2 linked regions of the Callithrix jacchus genome follow. Each later gene encodes a partner of the first gene's protein in a complex. Links are inferred from orthologs where the notes say so. Each region holds a gene or a part of one and is shown in the gene's direction. Other genes may lie near its edges.

Region 1 (10,312 bases):
TCTTGGCTCATTGCAACCTCTGCCTCCTGGGTTCGAGTGATTCCCCTGCCTCAGCCTCCCGAGTAGCTGGGATTACAGGTGCCCGCCACCATGCCCGGCTAACTTTTTTTTAGTACAGATGGGGTTTTGCCATGTTGGCCAGGCTGGTCTTGAATCCTGACCTCAGGTGATCCGCCTGCCTTGGCCTCCTGAAGTGCTGGGATTACAGGTGTGAGCTGCCATTACTGGCCCCGTGAAGATTTTTTATGCTTTCCTCCTCTCTGCTATTTCTTTTCAACCATTCATGTACCCTTTTGAAACTTGTTTATTTTAGGGATCTACTGTATACCAGCATATATGTCTGCCATTTTATTGAATTCCTTTCCAGTCCTTTCAGTAACCCTTTGCAATGGGTATTACCTTCCCCATTTTACAGTTGTAGAAACTCAGTCTTGGTGGGGGTTAAAGCAACTCGTCAGGATTCAAACCCACATCTGACTCCAAAGCTTCCTCTCCCCTTTCTTCTCTTCCACTGTGCTTTTTTTCACTCACTAGGTCACCAAAGTGCTTATTCCTCATCAGACACTTGTAAAAAGACATTTTCTGTTGATTATGAACCTCTAGCTTTGTTTTAAAAGTATGCCACATCCCAAGGGTTTTATGTATTTGTTTGTTTTCCTAGAGTAAGCCTGGGCTTTTGTTTTTTCCCCTTTAGATGCTCTGCTCCTGTACTGCCAGTGGATGTGCAGATACAAAACACATCTGGGCCACCATTTGGAAAACTAGTGGTTCAGAGCTCCATAGATTCTAGTGCATTCAAGCACAATGGCACAGTTGAATGTAAGGCTTACAACGATGTGGGCAAGACTTCTGCCTATTTTAACTTTGCATTTAAAGGTAACAACAAAGGTATATTTCTTTTTAATCCAATTTAAGGGGATGTTTAGGCTCTGTCCACCATATCAGTCATGATTTTAAGTTCATTCCTACATTGACCATGTCATGTCTGGTAATATGTACATCACACCATACCGTCATCAAACTCACTACGTTTCATTTTGTACTAGTTTGTTAATAAAGTATATGCTTTTACCAGAGTAATTTTAACTATGCTACTTTATATATTTTATGTTTGTCTCTATTATATAGTTAGTTGTAAATTTCAATTGTCTCCATTAAAAAGGGGTAGAGAAAGAAAATGGAGAAATGAATATATATATATATATATATATATTTTTTTTTTTTTTGAGACGAGGTTTTGCTCTTGTTACCCAGGCTGGAGTGCAATGGCGTGATCTTGGCTCACCACAACATCCCCCTCCTGGGTTCAGGCAATTCTCCTGCCTCAGCCTCCTGAGTAGCTGGGATTACAGGCACGCACCACCATGCCCAGCTAATTTTTTGTATTTTTAGTAGAGACAGGGTTTCACCATGTTGACCAAGATGGTCTCGATCTCTTGACCTCATGATCCACCCACTTCGGCCTCCCAAAGTGCTGGGATTATAGGCGTGAGCCACGGCACCTGGCCAATAGGGGGAATATATTTACCTTACACCCAAGCATATTAGAACAATCTAAAATTTAATTTCAGTTATTTAAAATGAATTATTTTAATACTTTGTCAGACACTGTATCCAAAAGTTAACACTGCCTTTATGAGGTCATGTTAGGAAGTTATTTCTTTAAAATACTTAAAATTTGATTCATTTGTGACTAACTCTCTTAACATAAGTTAAATGAGCCTTGTGGACAAATTGATGAATTGGTACAAAATGAGAAACAAAGAAACTGGGCCCTTACTTTTTAGGCCTTCCTGGGGTTTGTTTTTTTTTGAGTTGGCAAAGACCAGTGCCAAAAAGTGGCGTATTTTCTCAGGTTTTGAGTAATGAGGGGAAGAATCTTCCATTGTTCTACATCATCGATTTTTCAGAGAGGGCAATGAAAAGAATACCTTAAAAATGTTTTTTGTGGTTGTGAAAGATGTTCATGCTCAGTGTAGAAAATACGGAAAATACAGGAAAGCATAAAAAAGAAAATATAAACCATCTATAAAGGAAGCTTCTTTTTAAAGTTGTGCAAGGCAGGAATTTGATTGAAGTACAAAGTGCATTCAGATGTTGCTTTTCATTGAAAAACAGCATAAATTATTCCTGTTCTACGGAAATCTCAACTTTTATTCTGCAGTATTCTGGTTTCAAGTTATATTTTTGAAGATTCATTTGAATAACAAGAGTACAATATAACAAAGGTGGGGCTCTGAGACTCACACAGCTTTGTATTTTGCCATGGACTGTGAGCGGGGAGGTGGGTCGATCTGGAATTGCGGGGCTATGGCAGAGATCCCATCCTGCCGATAGTTTGTGATTCCACATTTCTCTCATTTTAGAGCAAATCCAGCCCCACACCCTGTTCACTCCTTTGCTGATTGGTTTCGTAGTCGTAGCTGGCATGATGTGCATTATTGTGATGATTCTGACCTACAAATATTTACAGGTAACCATTTATTTGTTCTCTCTGCAGAGTGCTCTAATGACTGAGACAATAATTACTAAACGTGATCTGTCTTTGCCTTTCTCCCCACAGAAACCCATGTATGAAGTACAGTGGAAGGTTGTTGAGGAGATAAATGGAAATAATTATGTTTACATAGACCCAACACAACTTCCTTATGATCACAAATGGGAGTTTCCCAGAAACAGGCTGAGTTTTGGTCAGTATGAAACAGGGGTTTTCCATGTCACCTTTTCGGGTACATCTAACAGTGACTTTAGGGAACTCCAGTGGCTTCATTTGTTTTGTTCCACCTGAAACAGAGTTTTCTGTGAAATTGCACCTCCTCTGATAGGTTTGGCATAGAGAACAGTATAGGAAAATGTCTCTAGACAAAATTGTCCCTAATTCCTTAATTGATTTTGAAACTACACAAATGGTCCTTCAGTTCCACCACCAGCACCACCACCACTTACCTTGTTGTCTTCCTTCCTACAGGGAAAACCCTGGGTGCTGGTGCTTTTGGGAAGGTTGTTGAGGCAACTGCTTATGGCTTAATTAAGTCGGACACGGCCATGACTGTCGCTGTAAAGATGCTCAAACGTAAGCTCCTGTATGGTACTGCATGCACGCAACACGAGTTTGCCAAATGTGCTTTTTGCTAAAATGCTTGTTTCCAATTTTAGCAAGTGCGCATTTAACAGAACGGGAAGCCCTCATGTCTGAACTCAAAGTCCTGAGTTACCTTGGTAATCATATGAATATTGTGAATCTTCTTGGAGCCTGCACCATTGGAGGTAAAGCCATGTCCAAATTGCCTTTTTTTGTTAAGTTATCCAAAGATGACATTTTAATATGATTTTGACAATGCTGGATTATAAGTTGCTGGAAGACTTTCACCCAGACTATTATTCTCTCCTGCTAGATTTTGTTTTCCTTACTGTTCTTAAGAATGCAGATTTTAATTTTATTACTACAAGGTAGATCAGCCCAGGACATACACTAGTTACTGTCGTGTTTGTAACATCAACAACATTGGCTTCTCGAATAGCTCATCCTGACCAGAAGGCTTCTCTTATCTTGTAAGCTTTATATCTTTCTTGATCATATGTAGCCACTGAAAGGGTTAATATTCATTTGCATACTATAATTGAAAATAGGCACCTAAGCCTACTAGTTCTCAGATATATACCAAGTGAGGCAAACATTTCACTTCTGTAAAAATAAGTTTCCAATCTGAAGCCTTAGTTGAGGTTTCCATCAAGGATGTCTGTGATGTTTACAGAAAGTATTTCAGTTGAAAGAAACAAAGATGTGTAAAATGAGCTGTTCCTGGAGATGCACGGTGAAGTTGACAGCTTTATGTAATGTCTACAGACAACCCCTGTAAATGTTGCTTCACCGCATCATGAATTGTTTATGAGGAAATTTCTTACCCAAGTTAATTAGTTGCCTCTTACCTCCGAACTACAGTTTTAAACATTCATAACACCAGAAAGATTTTTCAACTAGTAGTGCTCAGAACAGAGGTCATTTTAGGTTTTCACTCACTTTCCAGTCTCATCCCAGCAAGCTGCTCCATGTGGCTGATGTCCCCACTATGCCACAGTTTGTACCTTCATTATTTCCATAATAATGTTACAGAGAGCACGTGAAGCCCTGCTGTAAACAGAAGTGAATCAAAGGATTCACGTAGGAAGCTTGATGATAGTAGAACCTTTGAAAGCAGTAACTTCTGTCTGTAAAACCAGCAGTCATGCTTGGCCCCAAATACTGATGTCACTTAGAAATTCAGGTTAACAGAGGCTTGCTTGTTTTATGTTACTCCATAATGCTGCTTTTTTGATAAGCATTGTTAATATATAGGATCGTATTGGGACTAAGTAGGCTTATCCACTGAAGCTGAATATTAATGGCCATGACCACCCTTGGGTATTTTTATGGGAGGCAGAATTAATATACATATCTCACCTTCTTCTAACCTTTTCTTACGTGCTTGTAGGGCCCACCCTGGTCATTACAGAATATTGTTGCTATGGTGATCTTTTGAATTTTTTGAGAAGAAAACGTGATTCATTTATTTGCTCAAAGCAAGAAGATCATGCAGAAGCTGCACTTTATAAGAATCTTCTGCATTCAAAGGAGTCTTCCTGGTAAGATTGATTTACGTAAATAGTTAGCTGTTGACAGGCAGTTCATGGGGTCATAAGGGTTTGCAATCAAGGCTGATTCTTTAAAAAATGAACTGAGGTACTCTGAGGTATGAAATCAAAATTATTAAATCATTTAAATGTGATTAACAGTTTAGAAAGTTCAAATTGTGTTTTTAAAGATTCAAACTGTGATAAACCTGGATTTTTGCTGATTTTTAAAAAATGCATTTTTACTTTTTTCTACACTTTAGTTCTATGCAACTGAATGAATTCTATTTCTGTTTCTTATGGTTCTGTCCTGCATGTATTTCCATTTATACCACTGAGCTTGGTGCTATATGCATGTTTCCAGTGAGACACTGTTTATAGGGAAAATGCTAAAGCCTCTCAAGTTGCCACAGTAAAGTCCTTTAAAACCTTTAGCAGAATGACAGAGAGCTCTGAACATATCTCTACACGTAGGCTTTTTGCCATCGACCTCTGAATTATTCCTATATGCCTTGCCTCTTGCCCCTTTTAATTCATCATGCTATTAAAAGATATAACCACTCCAGCACATTTTTATAAATTCTGGACACCATTCTCATCTCTTTCATCATGGCTGCCATTCTGAATTTGAATCATCTATAAAGAGCTTCAAGTTTGATTTACAACCAGAAAAGAAACTTGCCTATTCTTTCTTTGGAAGTGCTGTTATGAGCCACCATTTGAGAAGACTTCCTAGATTTACTTCACCCAGTAGAAGTCATGATTATCTTGGCCAATCCCCTATACTACAGTTGGGTGGGAGATTTCTCTTATCCTTTTTATGCACTACATCCCCTGCACCTTGTGACGGCAAGACGTTGCCTCCTAAACTCTTAACACCAGGCCCTCTAGGAGACCTCAGTAAATAATATTGATGGGCAATTACCTTTTAGAGCCATTTTCTGTACCTCTGGCTAAAGTTTAAAGCCCCAGGTGAAACTTTTTATTTTTTTAATCCTATAAACTTGAATAGTTTAAAGTGGTAGTAAAATTCTGTACAAAACCACCTTTTATTAGTTTCTCCTGGGCATGTGCTCATTATATGAAGAAATGAGCCATTTTGCTTCTTTCCGAAATCTTGGCCCTATCTATATTCTTTAACTTTCTGAAATAATGGCCGAAATTGTTCAATTCTGTGTGATGTTCTTTGTGCTTTGGGATCCCATATGGGATTGGAACCACCAGCACACTCTGAAGGAGATTGTTGTCATGGTGTTTCTATGCTAATCAGAAGCAGGAAGTACTAGAAATCTTGAAGAGTCTCCAGCCAAATGTTGCAGATTGAAGAGGTCCAGATGGTTCAGAAAATCATCCAAATTATTGGTGTTTATCTGAACCAACTTGATTTTTTTTTTTAAACCTTATTCCATCAGTCACTATATGTTAACGATCTCTGTCTCCCCCCATAACACATCTTAGAAGCTCCTCTTCTTTGTCTTTCTTTCATCTTGTTTCCTGGGGCTCATTTAGAGAGTTTGAGGTAATACAGGATACCATTTTCGTTTCCCATTAAATCCACGTGTCAAGAGATGGGAAATTTCTAACCTGGGTCCCCTCTATGATTAAACACAGAAAGGACACCTAATTTCTGGGCATAGACCCCAATATTGAATATTAAAAACTCATATTTTACAGAACAAGATTTTCATTCATATTTTACTTTCCTCAAGTCAGTCCAGTCTATTATGTAGCAAAGGGGATGACGAGGGAGAGCCTGACCCATGAGTGTCAGGCTTCTGCACGTCCCACTTGATTCAGTCATGACTTGTTTCATCTCTCCCAGCAGCGATAGTACTAACGAATACATGGACATGAAACCTGGAGTTTCTTATGTCGTTCCAACCAAGGCCGAGAAAAGGAGATCTGCGAGAGTAGGTGGGTACCCACCTATCAAGCAACAAGAGCAACTTTATTTACAGAGAGTATATATATATCATGCTAATGTGGAATACAATGTCATTCCCAGTAGCAATGATGGAAACCAGTTCTGCTTTATGGTAGCCATGCCAATGGTCGATGGCAGTTAGGGTTGCAAGTGGGTGTTTGGGGTTAGAGTATATGTTTTTGTGTCTGAGCATCTTACTATAGACTTGGGATTTTTGTATTAATTCGCCATCCCTCTCTTCTACGGATTTTGTAACCCAGCCTAGGATTGTTAAATACTAATTTTGTGATTCAGCATCTACCTTTCCTGGACACCAGGGAGGTGATCTGCCTGCAAGTTCACATTAGTTCATTCATTACCAGCCTTTGGTATTGTCATTGCCACTGTCTTTTCCTTTTCTAACCTTTATGGTTTTAATTGCTAAGAAAAACCCTCCCTTCATCACAGGCTCATACATAGAAAGAGATGTGACTCCTGCCATTATGGAGGATGACGAGTTGGCCCTAGACTTAGAAGACTTGCTGAGCTTTTCTTACCAGGTGGCAAAGGGCATGGCTTTCCTCGCCTCCAAGAATGTAAGTGGGAATGATTCTCAAAAGAGTTTTTTGTTTTGTTTTGTTTTTTAAACAGAATTTTAGAGCCATAGTTAGAAGGCAGAGTGTCATTTTGAAGTGTGGTAACCAAAAGCAGAGGAAATTTAGTTTCTTCGTGTTCCAACTGCTGTCTCTTTGGAATTCCTGTTCTAATTTATAAGCTTCAAAGTGTAAGCCTGTCAAAATGAGTTTTCTATGAATATTCTTTTATATGCAGTGAATTCATTTAAAACTTCTGACTTTTAGGATATAGGATATGTTCCTAGAGAATAGAAACATTTTATCAGTAAAAGCAGAGGGCACCTCATAGTTACAAGGATTGGGGTGAAGCATAGACTTGAATTTTATTGAAGTTAGACCCAAGTATTACAATGCATGGCTTATGAAGTGTTGGGAAATAAGGGGTCAAGAGAGTATAATAAACACTTGGGAGAAAGATAGGAATGGAAAAAGAATGATGGAACCAAGAAAAGAAGATGGTCTGTGGAAAGGTGAGAGGAATTCCTTAGGACATAAGATTAACCGAACAGAATGAGGTTACCAGTCCTATCCTTAAATGTCATGGGTGACATTTCCCAACAATTACCAAACTAAGAAAGGACACAGGATGGCTGAAATAAAGACCTTCTTCCGTGTGTCCTTGGGAAATGTCAAATTGAAGTTGCAAAGGCATGTTAGGAATTCTGTGAAAGGACATTCAAAGAGATGTATGCAAAATGAATTTCCAGTTTCAGCAATATGATATGACTATTTCTTATGAATTTTCCTACGAATAAAAGCAGTCCTGAGAAGAAAATACATTTATTAGAATTGCTTTTGAAAGAGATTATAGTAATTAGACTCTTGATTATGTGAACATCATTCAAGGCATGCTTTTGATTTTTTTTTGTTGTTGTTGGTGTACTGAATACTTTAAAACAAAAGTATTGGATTTTTTATAATATAACAACACTCTAATATTAAAAAGTTAGTTTCACTCTTTACAAGTTAAAGTGAATTTAAATGGTTTTCTTTTCTTCCCCAATCGAATAGTGTATTCACAGAGACTTGGCAGCCAGAAATATCCTCCTTACTCATGGTCGAATCACAAAGATTTGTGATTTTGGTCTAGCCAGAGACATCAAGAATGATTCTAATTATGTGGTTAAAGGAAATGTGAGTACCCATTCCCTGCTTGATAGTCCTGCAAAGGAGTTGTAGTTTCAACTTTCAATAAAAATTGTTGCCTATGATTTTCATAATGTAAATCCTGTCTTGAGCTATCACATATTTTAGCAGTCAAATTTAGTGTACTTCAGCAAAATTTGCATGGTATGCTGAACATTACTACAACTAACATTCAGTAATGGAATTCCTAATTCTAATTGTGTAATTATGGGGCACGTGAAGGAAACAGAAATAGCCTTAATTTTCATTAGAGCCTGAGAATAGCAATGAACTTGATTTTGTTCAACTGTATCAAATGTAGGTCATTGAAGGTCACAGCAGGAGAAATTTTGGGGGATTGACATGCCGTGTGAAGAAGATTAAAATCTAAGGTCATGTTCAGAGTTAGCCATATAGAATGTTGGATCCTAGAATTCATGGAGAGCTATTAAATGGGTTCATAAGTAATAATGAGTTTGTAGAACATAGAAAATGTTTTTCAAAGTGCTATATTTCATTGCCAATTTTTATTGAACTCAGAACAAACTCTTGCCCTACAATTGCAGTGTCTTCCTATTTTAAAAGTTGGAGAAACTAAGGCATAGTATATTTTCATGCTTTTTGTCTGAGGTGACACAGGGCAGGACCCAGAGCCTGTGATTTCCAGAGTGGCATCCCATCGCCATGGAAAACCATATTGCCCTGTATATTCTTCTATGTCTTTTTCTTACTGGGCCCATTTCCACAGTCCAGATTTATTCCTGGAGGTAGATTTTTGTGCCCCTTATGATAATGTAATATTTTCTCTCTCATCACTATGGTGTCTCTACTGGTAGTCTGTACTTGACTTGGTATGGCTGTGTTTATCTTCTGGCCAAAGCATGAATTTCTGAGAAGTCTGTCCTGAAGCTAGATATCATCATCAGGAGTGATAATAAAAACAACTTCTCTTCATCCTGGTGTGATTTTGGAAGGAAGAATAACAAGTTGTTTATTATCTAGGCCTCTGAACATTGACCAAAGGGAGGAGAAAGAAGATGGCAACCTCCAGGCTCAGTCTTGATTAATTCTGTAATCTGCCTCCATTATTTCATGGCTGTATAATATTGTCAAGACTTACCCAACATCTCTGAATCTTGGTTTTTCTCCCCTTGGGAATAATAGTGATTCCTGACTCAGAAAGTTATTTTGAGGATTAAAGGAGTTAATAGATGTAAAGTGCTTAGAACGTGCCAGACATATTGTTACGATTCTTTATAGATGTCTTATAAATAATCCTGCCTATTGTTATATACTGTTTTGTTATTGGTTAGTAGTGACCTTAGTTTGAATTGACAAAGGGGTTGGCCCCCATCAGGCTTCCAGATTATAGACTCCAGCTCAAGGAGTCTACAATCGAACTAACCAATCACAGGCATTGCTTTCACCAGGCTTGTGGGTAAGGAGAATTTCTGAAACAAGATAAGGACAAGGAAACTCACACATGTTACTGCCCAGCGTGTATGTCATCATCATTTGAGAACTCCTTGTTGTGTCAGGGTCTCTGAAGTTCTTCCTTTCACATGAGTTCTTCATCATTTTTTCATGTCATGGCCCCTTTTAGAGTCTGGTAAAGCCTGTGGAACCGTTGTCAGAACACTGTTTTCAACGCCTGTGATGAAATACATAGGACTGCCAAGGAAAACAGTTAAATCGAAGTAGCTATCAGGATATTAAGTAAATTTGTGGTATGTCAGTACATGTGTTTACTACAGAGAGTAACAGATTCTTTTAGGTTGGTGTAAAAGCAATTGTGAGCTTTGCTATTTTTTTTTTTTTTTTTTTTTTTTTTTTTTTTTTTTTCAGAAAACCACTGTAATTTTAGAGTGGTGATTAAATAGGATTTTGAGATACATGTAAAGACTTAATAGGATATGAAGGTATTTATGATTACTGTTCATGACAAAGCCACAGGTACAGCTGATACTACTGTGGCTTATCACCTTCGTTAGTAATTTAAAGAAATGCTAAACTTCATCTAGAAATTAGTGAAAGTAAG
Region 2 (10,412 bases), on another chromosome or scaffold:
TAGCCAGGCTGGTCTCAAACACCTGACCCCAGGTGATCCACCTGCCTCAGCCTCCCAAAGTGCTGGGATTACAAGCATGAGCCACTGCTCTCTGCCTTATACTTTTTCTACATATACATGTACCCATAAAAAATGTATATTATTAGTTTGAGTGCTTCAAACCTGACATATATGGTTTCATGCTGTATGTGTCCTTCTAGAACTAGTTTTTCGTTTCACTAATGTCCTTAATATATATCCATGTTGATACATACAGTTTACTCATTTTTTTGTTTAAATGGAAATCATTTGATTCATCCCATTATGCAGACATTCACATTGTTTTCAGTGTTGTTTTGAGGTTTTCACTACTACAAACAGTGCTTCATTGAACAGTTCTTGTTTTCTTTTTCTTTTTTTTTTTGAGACAGAGTCTTGCTCTGTCGCCCAGGTTAGAGTGCAGTGGCTCGATCTTGGCTCACCACAATCTGCCTCACGGGTTCAAGCGATTCTCATCTCAGCCCCCTGAGTAGCTGGGACTACAGGCACATGCCACCACGCCCAGCTAATTTTTTGTATTTTTAGTAGAGACGGGTTTCACCATGTTGGTCAGGCTGGTCTCGAACTCCTGACCTTGTGATCCGCCCACCTTGGCCTCCCAAATCGCTGGGATTATAGGCATGAGCCACCACGCCCAGTTCCTCTTGCCAGTTTCTGGTGTTGACAGCAATTCTTGGTGTTCCTTGACTTGCAGATGCATCAATCCAGTCTCTGCCTCTGCAGGGTTCTCTCTATATGTCTTTACCTGCTATCCCCTCCTTGTGTGTCTCTGTGTCTTGTCCTCTTATAAGGACGCCAGTCACATTGGAGTAAGGGCCCACTCTAGCCCAGCAGGACTTCATTTCAGCTTAACAGTGGCAGAGACCCCACTTCCAACAAAGTTGTGTTCTAAGGTTCTGGAAAGGACACAACTCTTTGGGGGACATTATGTAACCCTGTATAAGTACCACACAAGGGAAATCTGAGTGAGTGGAGTACAGCACCTGAACCAGCAAGACAGGAAAGCAGGGGCAGCAGAAGGGCAGTGGAAGGGAGGGAAGCAAGAGAAGGGTGGCAGATTTTGCTTACTTTGCAGCTTTTCACAGGGACCCCAAGAGTGCTTTTTGTACTGAGGATGTACAGTCACGCACTGATTAATGTTTTGATCAACTGCATACATGATTGTGATCCTATAATAAGATTATAATGCTGTATCTTTACTGAACCTTTTCTATGTTTAGATATGTTTAGATACACAAATACCACTGGTTACTATTCCCTTACAGAATTCAGTACGGTAACATGCGGTACAGGTTTGTAGCCTAGAAGCAATAGGCTATACCCTATTATTCTAGGTGTATAGTAGGCTCCATCTAGGTTTGTGTAAGTACAGTCTATCATGTTAGTAGAAGGATGGAATCACCTAGTAACACTTTTCTCAGAACATGTCACTGTCGTTAAGTGAGGTCTGACTGTACTTGAAACACCAGGACTGGGATGGAAGGCTGCACACTGTAACCCATCCCGCTTCCACCCAGTTTTCTCAAGTCTGGACTTCCCTTTTTCCCCTTTCAGAAGAAGGGAGGAGGCTTAATATTATAAATCAAACAAGACTTGAAATTGGGAAATGTCAGTTCAAGTCATGAATTGACTTTTGTCACTTTGGGAAAAGTATTTGAGCTCAGTCTGTTTCCTCCTCCTTACAATGAGGATGTTGGACCATTTTCCTGTCTGTAAAAGGGGATGTTGAGGATCATCAGCAAGGGTGCTTCTGGTTCTGTAAGCTATTGCTCTAGGAGGCAGCTGTGGAACTATGCTTCTGTCCCTGGTGAGAGGCTAGACTTTCCATATGACCGGTGGCTATCCCCATGTTTTAGCAAGTATATTAGACAGCACTTATAAACAATAGAAATTGATTATCTTGAGCAAAACAGGGATTTGTTAGAAGGTGTTGGGGACTGGCACTGGATCAGTTTGGTGCAGGTACCTTCTTACCGTAGATGTGATCCTGTCCTCTTCCAGGAGCCCTCCATGATTGTATCACTTGCACAACAGTAAGCATCTGGACAAGAGTTTTTTGGTTCTGCCCTTCCCTTTTCCCTTCCCCTTCCCCTTCTTTCTCCTCCCCTTCCCTTCCTTCTTTCCCATCCTCCCTCCCTCCCTTCTTTTCTCTCTCTCTTTTTGAGCGAGTTTCACGCCGTTGCTCAGACTGGAATGCAATGGCATGATAGCTGTTCACTACAACCTTTGCCTCCTGGGCTGAAGCAATCCTCCAGTCTCAGCCTCCTGAACAACTGGAACTACAGGCATGTACCATCATGCCCAGCTAATTGTTGTATTTTTAGTAGAGACAGGGTTTTGCCACGTTGCCCACGTGAGTCTCAAACTCCTGGGCTCTCAAGCAATCCATCGGCTTTGGCCTCCCAAAGTGCTGGGATTATGGGTGTGAGCCACTGCACCCAGCCTGATTCTTTTTGTAAGACAGAGTCTCGCTCTGTTGTCCAGGCTGGAGTGTGGTGACATGTTCATAGCTTACTGCAACCTGGAACTCCTGGGCTTAATAGATCCTCCCGCCTCCATGCCACCCCACCCTGCTAATATATTAACTTTTTGTAGAGACAACATCTGGCCATGGTGCTCAGGCTGGTCTCGAATCCCTGACCTCAAGTGAACCTTCCACCTTGGCATCCCAAAGTGCTGGGATTACAGGTGTGAGCCTCCCTGTCTGGCCTGGGGAAGAGTTACGGGCATATATCTTAGCTGTGTTGGGTGTTGGTAGAGCAAAGATAAGATTTCCTCCAAAAAAGAGAGCAAGTGCTGATGGGAAAAAGGGTTCAGGCGGATAGCCAAGAAGATAACACATGTTTATGGCCAAAAAGTGTCTGAAATGTAGCCAAGCATGGCGATTTTAAATAGTATATCTAGACTAATATCTCTACACTGAAGTTGTTGCTATATTATTAATACTGTAATCATTATTTAGTGGTAAAGGGTCTAAGCCTAAATTCCAGCTCTGCCCTATAGTAGCTGTGACTTGGGGAGAGTGAATTCTTACCTTCGCACTGCACATCTCAGTTTCCTCATCTGTAAGGCAGGGATGATGTTAATACTGACCTTACTGGATTGATATGAAAATTAAAACACGTAATATATTCAAAAGAATTGAATGCAAGGCGTGACTCATTAGGCCCCTAGTGGTTTTTCTGCATTATTTCATGAAATCTTACAACTATTTGGTATAATTCGTATCAAGCCCCTTCATTCCCCCTTTACAAAAGTAGAAACTGAGGTTACAACTGAGAAACTTGTTTGAGGTCACACGGCTGTCAGACCTGTCAAAGCTGTGCCTCTGGTCCAGCTCTGCTAGACTCAGAACCCCTGGGTCTTAACCATACATTCAAGAGTCTCCTGGAAGTCAACTCTTCCCCACCCTTCACAGCCCCATTGCTGCGAAAAAGGCTCACTAACCCCCTGCTGCACAGCTCCTGCTGGTTGTCCTTTTTAGATAAAATAGGGAGACACTGGCATCCCGAGGCAGTAGGATTGAAAAGTTTGCTTCTTTTCTTTTCGAGATGGAGTCTCGCTCTGTTGCCCAGGCTGGAGTGCGATAGCACTATCTCTGCTCACTGCAACCTCCACTTCCTGGGTTCAAGCAATTCTCCTGCCTCAGTCTCCTGAGTAGCTGGGATTACAGGCACCTGCCACCATGACCGGCTAATTTTTGTATTTTTAGTAGAGACGGGGGTTTCACTGTGTTGGCCAGGCTGGTCTTGAACTCCTGACCTCATGATCCGCCTGCCTTGGCCTCCTAAAGCATTGGGATTACAGGCGTGAGTCACTGCTAATTACCGTTTTTTGTGTTTCCCACTAACCTCTCTGCCAATTCTATTTCAACCTCCATTCTCCAATCATTGTAATTAGGTATTTCAGAATTGTGTTGCATTTCAATCACGGTAACAATAATGGTAGCATTTTATTAATCAAGTAAAAACTGAAAATGACAATGATAGTGTATGACACACAACAAATGACATCAACTTTGCATCACCTAAAGTTCCAACTTTTCTGTTATGAATCTAGATTTCTTGTCGAGCATTTTATATTGAACATAGGAAATAAGATTACTGTACGTGAACATTTTGTAACTAACAACTTTCTGAAGATGTAATTCGGGTAAAAACTCACACCTGAACAACTTTTTTAGACTTTTTTCTAGCCCTTTTTTCTCTGTACTTTCAGTTTTCTTTTTAAACGGTCCATATTATTCAACAACTTTTCAAGTCCACAATAATTCTTGTTAGATTTTAATGATACTTATCTGCCCCCAAGCTCTATTGAAATAATAATGACATTCATTTTTAATCACTTTTCATCATAAGAGAAATACAAATTTTCCTATTGATTTCCCATGGACAAAAATCAAGTTTTCAGCCAGTTTCCCTGTAGACATGAGTCAAGTCCCCAACATGCAACTTGTATATCACACTACCTTGGAATTCGGCGGCACAAACATCAGTGAACTATTACTTGTACAAAACCTCTCTGAAAATGACTAAATGGAAAAGTAAATGGCTCGAAACAAGGAATAAGTTTGGTTTTTTAAAAAGCAATTTTCACGATTCAGTCGAGAAGGTGTGGGGAGCGCTTCCCCACTTGTGGCTCTGCACGGCGTGCGCGCGCGGCAGTCCGGGGGTCTCCTCCCCGCGGGGACAAGGTCGGGGTCCCGGCGCGAGCCCAGACCTGACCAGTGTGGGGGTCCCGCCGCCGGTCGCAGGGGCACAGGGACCGCGTCCGCCAAATCCACGGGGCCTGTGTGTGGGGGAGCCGAGGACTTTCCTTTCCACGTTAGCCAGAGCCACCCCGACCGGAGGAAAGGCACCAGGGACCCCGGGGGCTGGAGGAGCAGCCGCCTGCAGCCATCGGCTGAGGGGCTCAGGAGGGCGCGGGGGTGGGAAGATCCGGGCTCCGCGCCCCGCCCTCCCGCCCCACGACCCTGGCCCGGCGCTCCTCCCCTCGGAACCCCCCACCCAGTGCCCGGCCCCCGCCCCGCCCCGCCCCGCCCCGCGCGGCCCCCAGCCCTAGCCCCGTGCGCCCCGACGCCCCGCCTGCGCCGCAGGCCCGAGTAGTGGGCGCGGGGCGGCCAGCTCGGCTCCTCCGCACCCGCTCCCCGCTCGGGCCGAGTCGCTGCGGCCGCGCGCCCCTCCTGGAGGAGGAGGAGGAAGGAGGCGGGAGGAGGAGTTGCCGAGAAGAGAAGGCGAGCGCGGCAGTCGCGCCGGCGCTGGGCGAGGAAGCGGAGCCGGGCCGCCTCCGGGTGAGCGTTTGGGGAGCCTGGGAGGGAGGCTGGGACCGGGCTTCGCCGTCCGCAGCCCGGGGCACTGGCCGCCGGGCTGGTTTCCGCCTCGAGGCTCAGGGGGCGGATCCGGCGCGGGCCGGGCCGGGGAGGCCGCCGGGCGCGGGCTGCAGCGGTGGGTCTGGGTCAGCGCGAGGGCCTGCGCCGCCTCGGCGGTTGCGCCCGTGGGGGCCGGGGCTGGGGAGCTGGAGCCGGGAGCAGGGACGCGGGAACCGGGAAGCCGGGGCCGGGGCGCGGCGGCCCCTGAAGGGCTGAGGCCTGCGCGGTCGCGGGCGGTTCTTCCCGACCTCTCGGCCTCTTCGGCCGCGGCGCGCCGGCCTGGGCCGCCGCCTTTGTTGCCCGCAGCTCGCCGGGGAGAGGCCGGGGCTCGGTGAGGCCTGGGCGGCGGCGCGGGGCCTGCGCGGCTCAGCGCCCCGGCCGGGTCCCTGCTCGGACCTCCGCGGGCTGGGGGTCGGGACGCGGCGAGGCCGCAGGCGCGAGGGCGGGCCCGGGGCGCGGTGCTGGGACTCGGGGACGCCCCCGCCCCACCGCGAGGTCGCGCCTACGCTGGCGGAGTGGCAGGCCGGGGCTGCTCTGTGGCCGAAGGTGCCGCCGGCCGGCCGCGCACTCACCCGGGCGTGGGGAAGGGACGATTGTGGAATTTAAAGCGCTCCTGGGACCGACGCGGGCCTGAATTTTCCGTTTGCTTCGGGAGTTGGCAACTTCAGGTACACCCTTGTGGCTCACGGAGCAGAATTATGGAAGTTTCTTAGAGGCAGGTCCCGTCACAAAACTTGAAATGTGTGGTGGAATGAGAAACTGGGGTTCCCATCCCCAGAGTTTGGAATGAAGGGCCAGGTGGGAATATGTGGCAGAACTCAGTCTTCCGGTAGCAAAATAAATAATGTTGAATTCATTTCAACAAATGTTTCTGCAACGTCTGCCCGTAGAAGGCAACACGCACTGTGCATGAGGACAGAGAACACACTAATGATAGAAATAACGTGAATTACACACGCGGAACGTCTCCCAGAGACGTTTTAAATTTACTGTGTTCCTTGGGGTAAAGCTATATTAGTAATCAAACAAAGGCAAATGGTCTACTTTCAGTTAAAATATCTGACACCTTCTCAACCACAGAAGATAGCAGTTTGTCTTGACTTTTTTTTTTTTTTTAACCCACAGCATTAAATCCATTTAGCTTACTTGAATGAATGAATCTTATCGGAATAGTTAATGCTGTGGACAGTCAGACTTACTTAAAAACAGGAATGGCATTGCTCACCGGCTTTCACAAAACCCCGAAGAAAGTCTGTAATGCTTTCCCATGGGCTAATTTCTCCTCCTAGTGGGTTTTGTGCACGCGTGGATATGGTAAGGTTTAGGGTCCATTCCTCTGTAAACGAAATAGGTGGCCTTAACCCTTCGATTCCAACACCCTCCCTAAGCCTGGCTTGGTGCCTTGGAGGAAGCTGGTTCGTGGACAGTGGACTGGTTTCCTAGAAGAGCTTCTATCTGGAGTGTGGCCAGGGCTTTCCACTTGTGCCTGGGTAAGGATCAGCTAGGTATTCACCTGAATCTATACTTTTTTAGAATTCCATTCAGCGTCTCTTTTGGAACACTCTCTCTTTCCTACCTTTATCATTTATCTAAATTACCCTCTAAATTGGTAGTCTTGCTCCTTGCTCCTTTCTCCTTGCTCCACCCACCCAAGAGCACACGCAAGGGCATCCCTTAACCCCCTCCCTTGGCAGGAGGGCCCCTCCCCCCCCAGGGAAGGGATTTGAGTGCCGTTGACTGGAAAGTGGTGCTGTACTGACTGAGTTTCTAGTCATTTTGCCTTCCAGTGTTTTTTTTCATTCTTGTATTAGAACTGGAAAACGTATTCTTTTTAGTGCCCCTCCCCCCCCTTTTTTTTAAGAAAACAGAAAGCAAGTATCTTCTTTTTTGCTTTTACTCTGTCACCCAGAGTGGAATACAGTGGTGCAGTCATGGCTCTCTGCAGCCTTGAACTCCTGGGCTCAAGTGATCCACCTCCCTCAGTCTCCTGGGTAACTGGGACTGGAGGCATGTGCCACTAAACCTGGCTGATGGTTTTTTGTAAAAATGGGGTCTTGCTGTGTTGCCGAGGCTGGTCTCAAACTGCAGGCCTCAAGATCCTCTCACCTCAGCCTCCCAAGAGCCCTGGGATTTCAGGCATGAACCACCGCGCCCAGCCTGCAAGTGTCCTCTTTACGTCTGTCTTGTGTAACTACACTCCTCAGAGAAAATCTTGCTAGTTTTCTCCATTGTGGCCAGTTTTCAGAAGACTTTTGGGTTACTGATCATGTCTTTTATTTTGCTTATAGAGGTGTGATCTTATTTAAAAGTCCAAACATAGATGGTCCCCAGTTTTGGATTTTTTGACTTTTTGGTGGAGCAGAAATGATACACATTCAGTATGCGCCTCGACTTATATCCATATAAACCCACTGTGAGTTTTGACTTTTAAGGTATTTTCAGTTTATCATGGGCATACTGGAATGTAAGTTGGGGACGTCTGCCATTTGCAAATCTGTAGCAATAATTTTTATTCTCTTAAAAATATGCACTCATGAGAAAGGATATTACATATATAAATACATATGCATTTGGAAGTATTAGGTCAGATACCTCATTTATAATCCAGTATAACTGATGGATTTGTGTACATTCTGTTTTAATGCTTAATAAACTTAGATAAATAAATGAACTAAAAAGATCTCCTTTTGCTTTTTTCTGTTTATTTCATCCTTTGTAGGAAGTGAGGATTGTCTATTTCAGTCCTCTGTCCTCATCCCTGACCTCTTCCAATTCTGGAAATTATATATGCATCTGTGGTGCCAAAGTACTTTTGTAAAATTACTCATTTTACAAGGGAGAAATTCCTAATACTAGTGTATGTCATAAAAAGGAGAAACTTTCTTATATGGCCAGATTGATAGAAATAATTGTTCAGATATTAAAAGAGAAGCAACGAAAGAGATGTTTAATATTGTTTTAAAGTGAAATTATCATTAATGTTTTTATGGATAATTTATTATGCTGTTTGGCATGTTGGTTTAGCTAATAAGTTGTGATGGCTTTAGGACTGAGGACACTGTTTACTTAGACTGATTTCAGGTCTTTACTGACCCATACAAACAATAAATTTTACTTAGTTGGGGCAGTTGATTTTAGGTGGCTGTTGGTCTTGATGTTTCAAGAACAGACATATTTAGGTAAGCCATGTGAGGTTTCAGTTCCCACCTCGCACACTCTGGACGTTTTGGAGCATCCATTTACCATCTCTGTGAACTTGAGCATGTTCTGTATGCCCTCTGAGTCCTATTCCTCATGTGGGGATAATAATTTATCTCACAAAGTTACAATGAATATGTATTTATGGTAAAACTTTTTGTTTGTTTGTTTTTGAGATGGGGATCTTGCTCTGTTGCCCAGGCTGGAGTGCAGTGGCGTGATCAGAACTCGCTGCAGCCTCATCCTCCCAGGCTCAAACAAACAATCCATACACCTCAGCTTCCCTCCGCTAGTAGCTGGGACCACGAATGCATGCCACTGTGCCCAGCTGATTTTTTTATTTTTTGTAGAGCTGGAGTCTCCTTATGTTGCCCAGGTTGGTCTTCAAATCATGGGCTCAAGTGATCCTCCCACCTTTGCCTCCCAAAGCGTTGAGATTGCAGGCATGAGTTCCTGTGCCCAGCCAAAAATCCACACTCTTTACCTGTGACTGTAACATTTCTGCCTAGTTCTGAAATGTGTTTTCATTTCTCCCTAGTTCTCATCTTCAGCAACCTTCCCTGCCTTACCAGGGTTCTGCCCTAGCCTTTCTGTTCCTCAACAATCTGACCTGCTTCCTGCACCCCCACCTTTGACACAGTAGTTCGCAGTGTCCTTCAGTGGCTTCTGTGGTTGGTTCATTCTCAGATCTTAACGCCAGTGTCACCACCCAGAGACTTCATGGACGGTAAGGTATTACGGTTCCTTTAGTAATCCCAAGTCATTAACTTGTATGGTTCCTTCATAACCTCTATTATTTTCTGTAATTATTTAGTTTACTTGTTTCTGCTGTTTCCTCCCCCCACCCCGCCCTGAATAAGTTCTATATGGGCACAGTGCCTACGGTGGTCCTTCTTTTCTGTGTCCCTGACACAGCCCAGGGGCCTGGCCACTGAGTAGGAGAGGTGTGGCTATACAGAAAGTACTTGGAGTTTTCATGTTGTTATCTCCACCTTAAAGGCAACGACATGCTGTCTGCATGTTAGAAAGTTGTTGGTGTTTCGTGGTGTTTGTCCTTTTCTGAACTGGTCTGCTTGTGTAGCTGAGTAAATCATAGCACTAATAAAACCAAAGCCCTTATAATTACATGGCCCCAACAGCCCCACAGAGAGAGGACTGTCACTGCCTCTAGAGCCGTAATGTGTGTCTGAGTGACTCAAGGACCAGACTAACTTGCAGTGTAGACGCCCATATCTCCTGCTTCTGGAAGTATAGTTATGTATAGTGTGTAGAAAGTCACTATTCCCAAAACACGTTTCCCTTGGTCATGTGGCTTAGTAAAGTGGAACCTCAGTTATCTGAAACCTCCTGGTATCCTCAGATTTCTGGTGTAGAATTAAAGCCAGAAGGAAAAACTCCTTGGAAATTAGAAAAGCCAGAGACTAGGCCGGGCACAGTGGCTCATGCCTGTAATCCCAACATTTCGGAAGCCCAAGGCAGGTGGTTCGCCTGAGGTCAGGAGTTCGAGACCAGCCTGACCAATATGATGAAACTCCACCTGTACTGAAAGTACAAAAACTAGCTGGGAGTGGTAGCATGTGCTTGTAGTCCCAGCAACTTGGGAGGCTGAGAAAGGAGAATTGCTTGAACTGAGGAGGTAGAGGTTGCAGTGAGCCGAGATCGCACAGCACCCCAGGCTGGGCGACAGAGCGAGACTCTGTCTCAAAAAAAGAAAAGAAAAAGAGAAAGAGAAAGAAAGAAAGGAGGGAGGAAAGGAGGGAAAGATCAGAGACTTAGAAGCCCTCGATGGTAACTGAGGAAGGCGGTC

The links. Proteins that work in one complex are often made in the same cells at the same time.
Region 2: the proteins of KIT (region 1) and SOCS6 are in contact, whole or in part, in a crystal structure (PDB 2VIF), measured with the Homo sapiens proteins. The link is inferred for Callithrix jacchus from reciprocal best matches to the Homo sapiens genes KIT and SOCS6. Residues at the interface, in NP_000213.1 of Homo sapiens: Asn566, Asn567, Tyr568, Val569, Tyr570, Ile571, Asp572, Pro573, Thr574; in NP_004223.2 of Homo sapiens: Arg391, Glu395, Arg409, Asp410, Ser411, Ser412, Asp413, Ser419, Phe422, Thr428, Leu429, His430, Thr431, Arg432, Phe442, Tyr443, Glu444, Gln445, Val448, His460, Asp464, Ala469, Phe470, Cys471, Tyr472, Ser473, Arg474, Ser475, Arg476, Thr482.

The regions. Positions count from the first base shown.
Region 1 is NC_133504.1:142,021,133-142,031,444, reverse strand, and holds part of KIT (mast/stem cell growth factor receptor Kit), read left to right. Parts: intron 1-694; coding exon 695-888; intron 889-2,366; coding exon 2,367-2,473; intron 2,474-2,563; coding exon 2,564-2,690; intron 2,691-2,968; coding exon 2,969-3,073; intron 3,074-3,156; coding exon 3,157-3,267; intron 3,268-4,472; coding exon 4,473-4,623; intron 4,624-6,433; coding exon 6,434-6,525; intron 6,526-6,982; coding exon 6,983-7,110; intron 7,111-8,160; coding exon 8,161-8,283; intron 8,284-10,312. UniProt on the Homo sapiens protein: Tyrosine-protein kinase that acts as a cell-surface receptor for the cytokine KITLG/SCF and plays an essential role in the regulation of cell survival and proliferation, hematopoiesis, stem cell maintenance, gametogenesis, mast cell development, migration and function, and in melanogenesis.
Region 2 is NC_133514.1:112,898,114-112,908,525, forward strand, and holds the start of SOCS6 (suppressor of cytokine signaling 6), read left to right. Parts: upstream 1-5,283; 5' UTR 5,284-5,483; intron 5,484-5,938; exon of another isoform or gene 5,939-6,075; intron 6,076-9,143; exon of another isoform or gene 9,144-9,332; intron 9,333-10,412. UniProt on the Homo sapiens protein: SOCS family proteins form part of a classical negative feedback system that regulates cytokine signal transduction.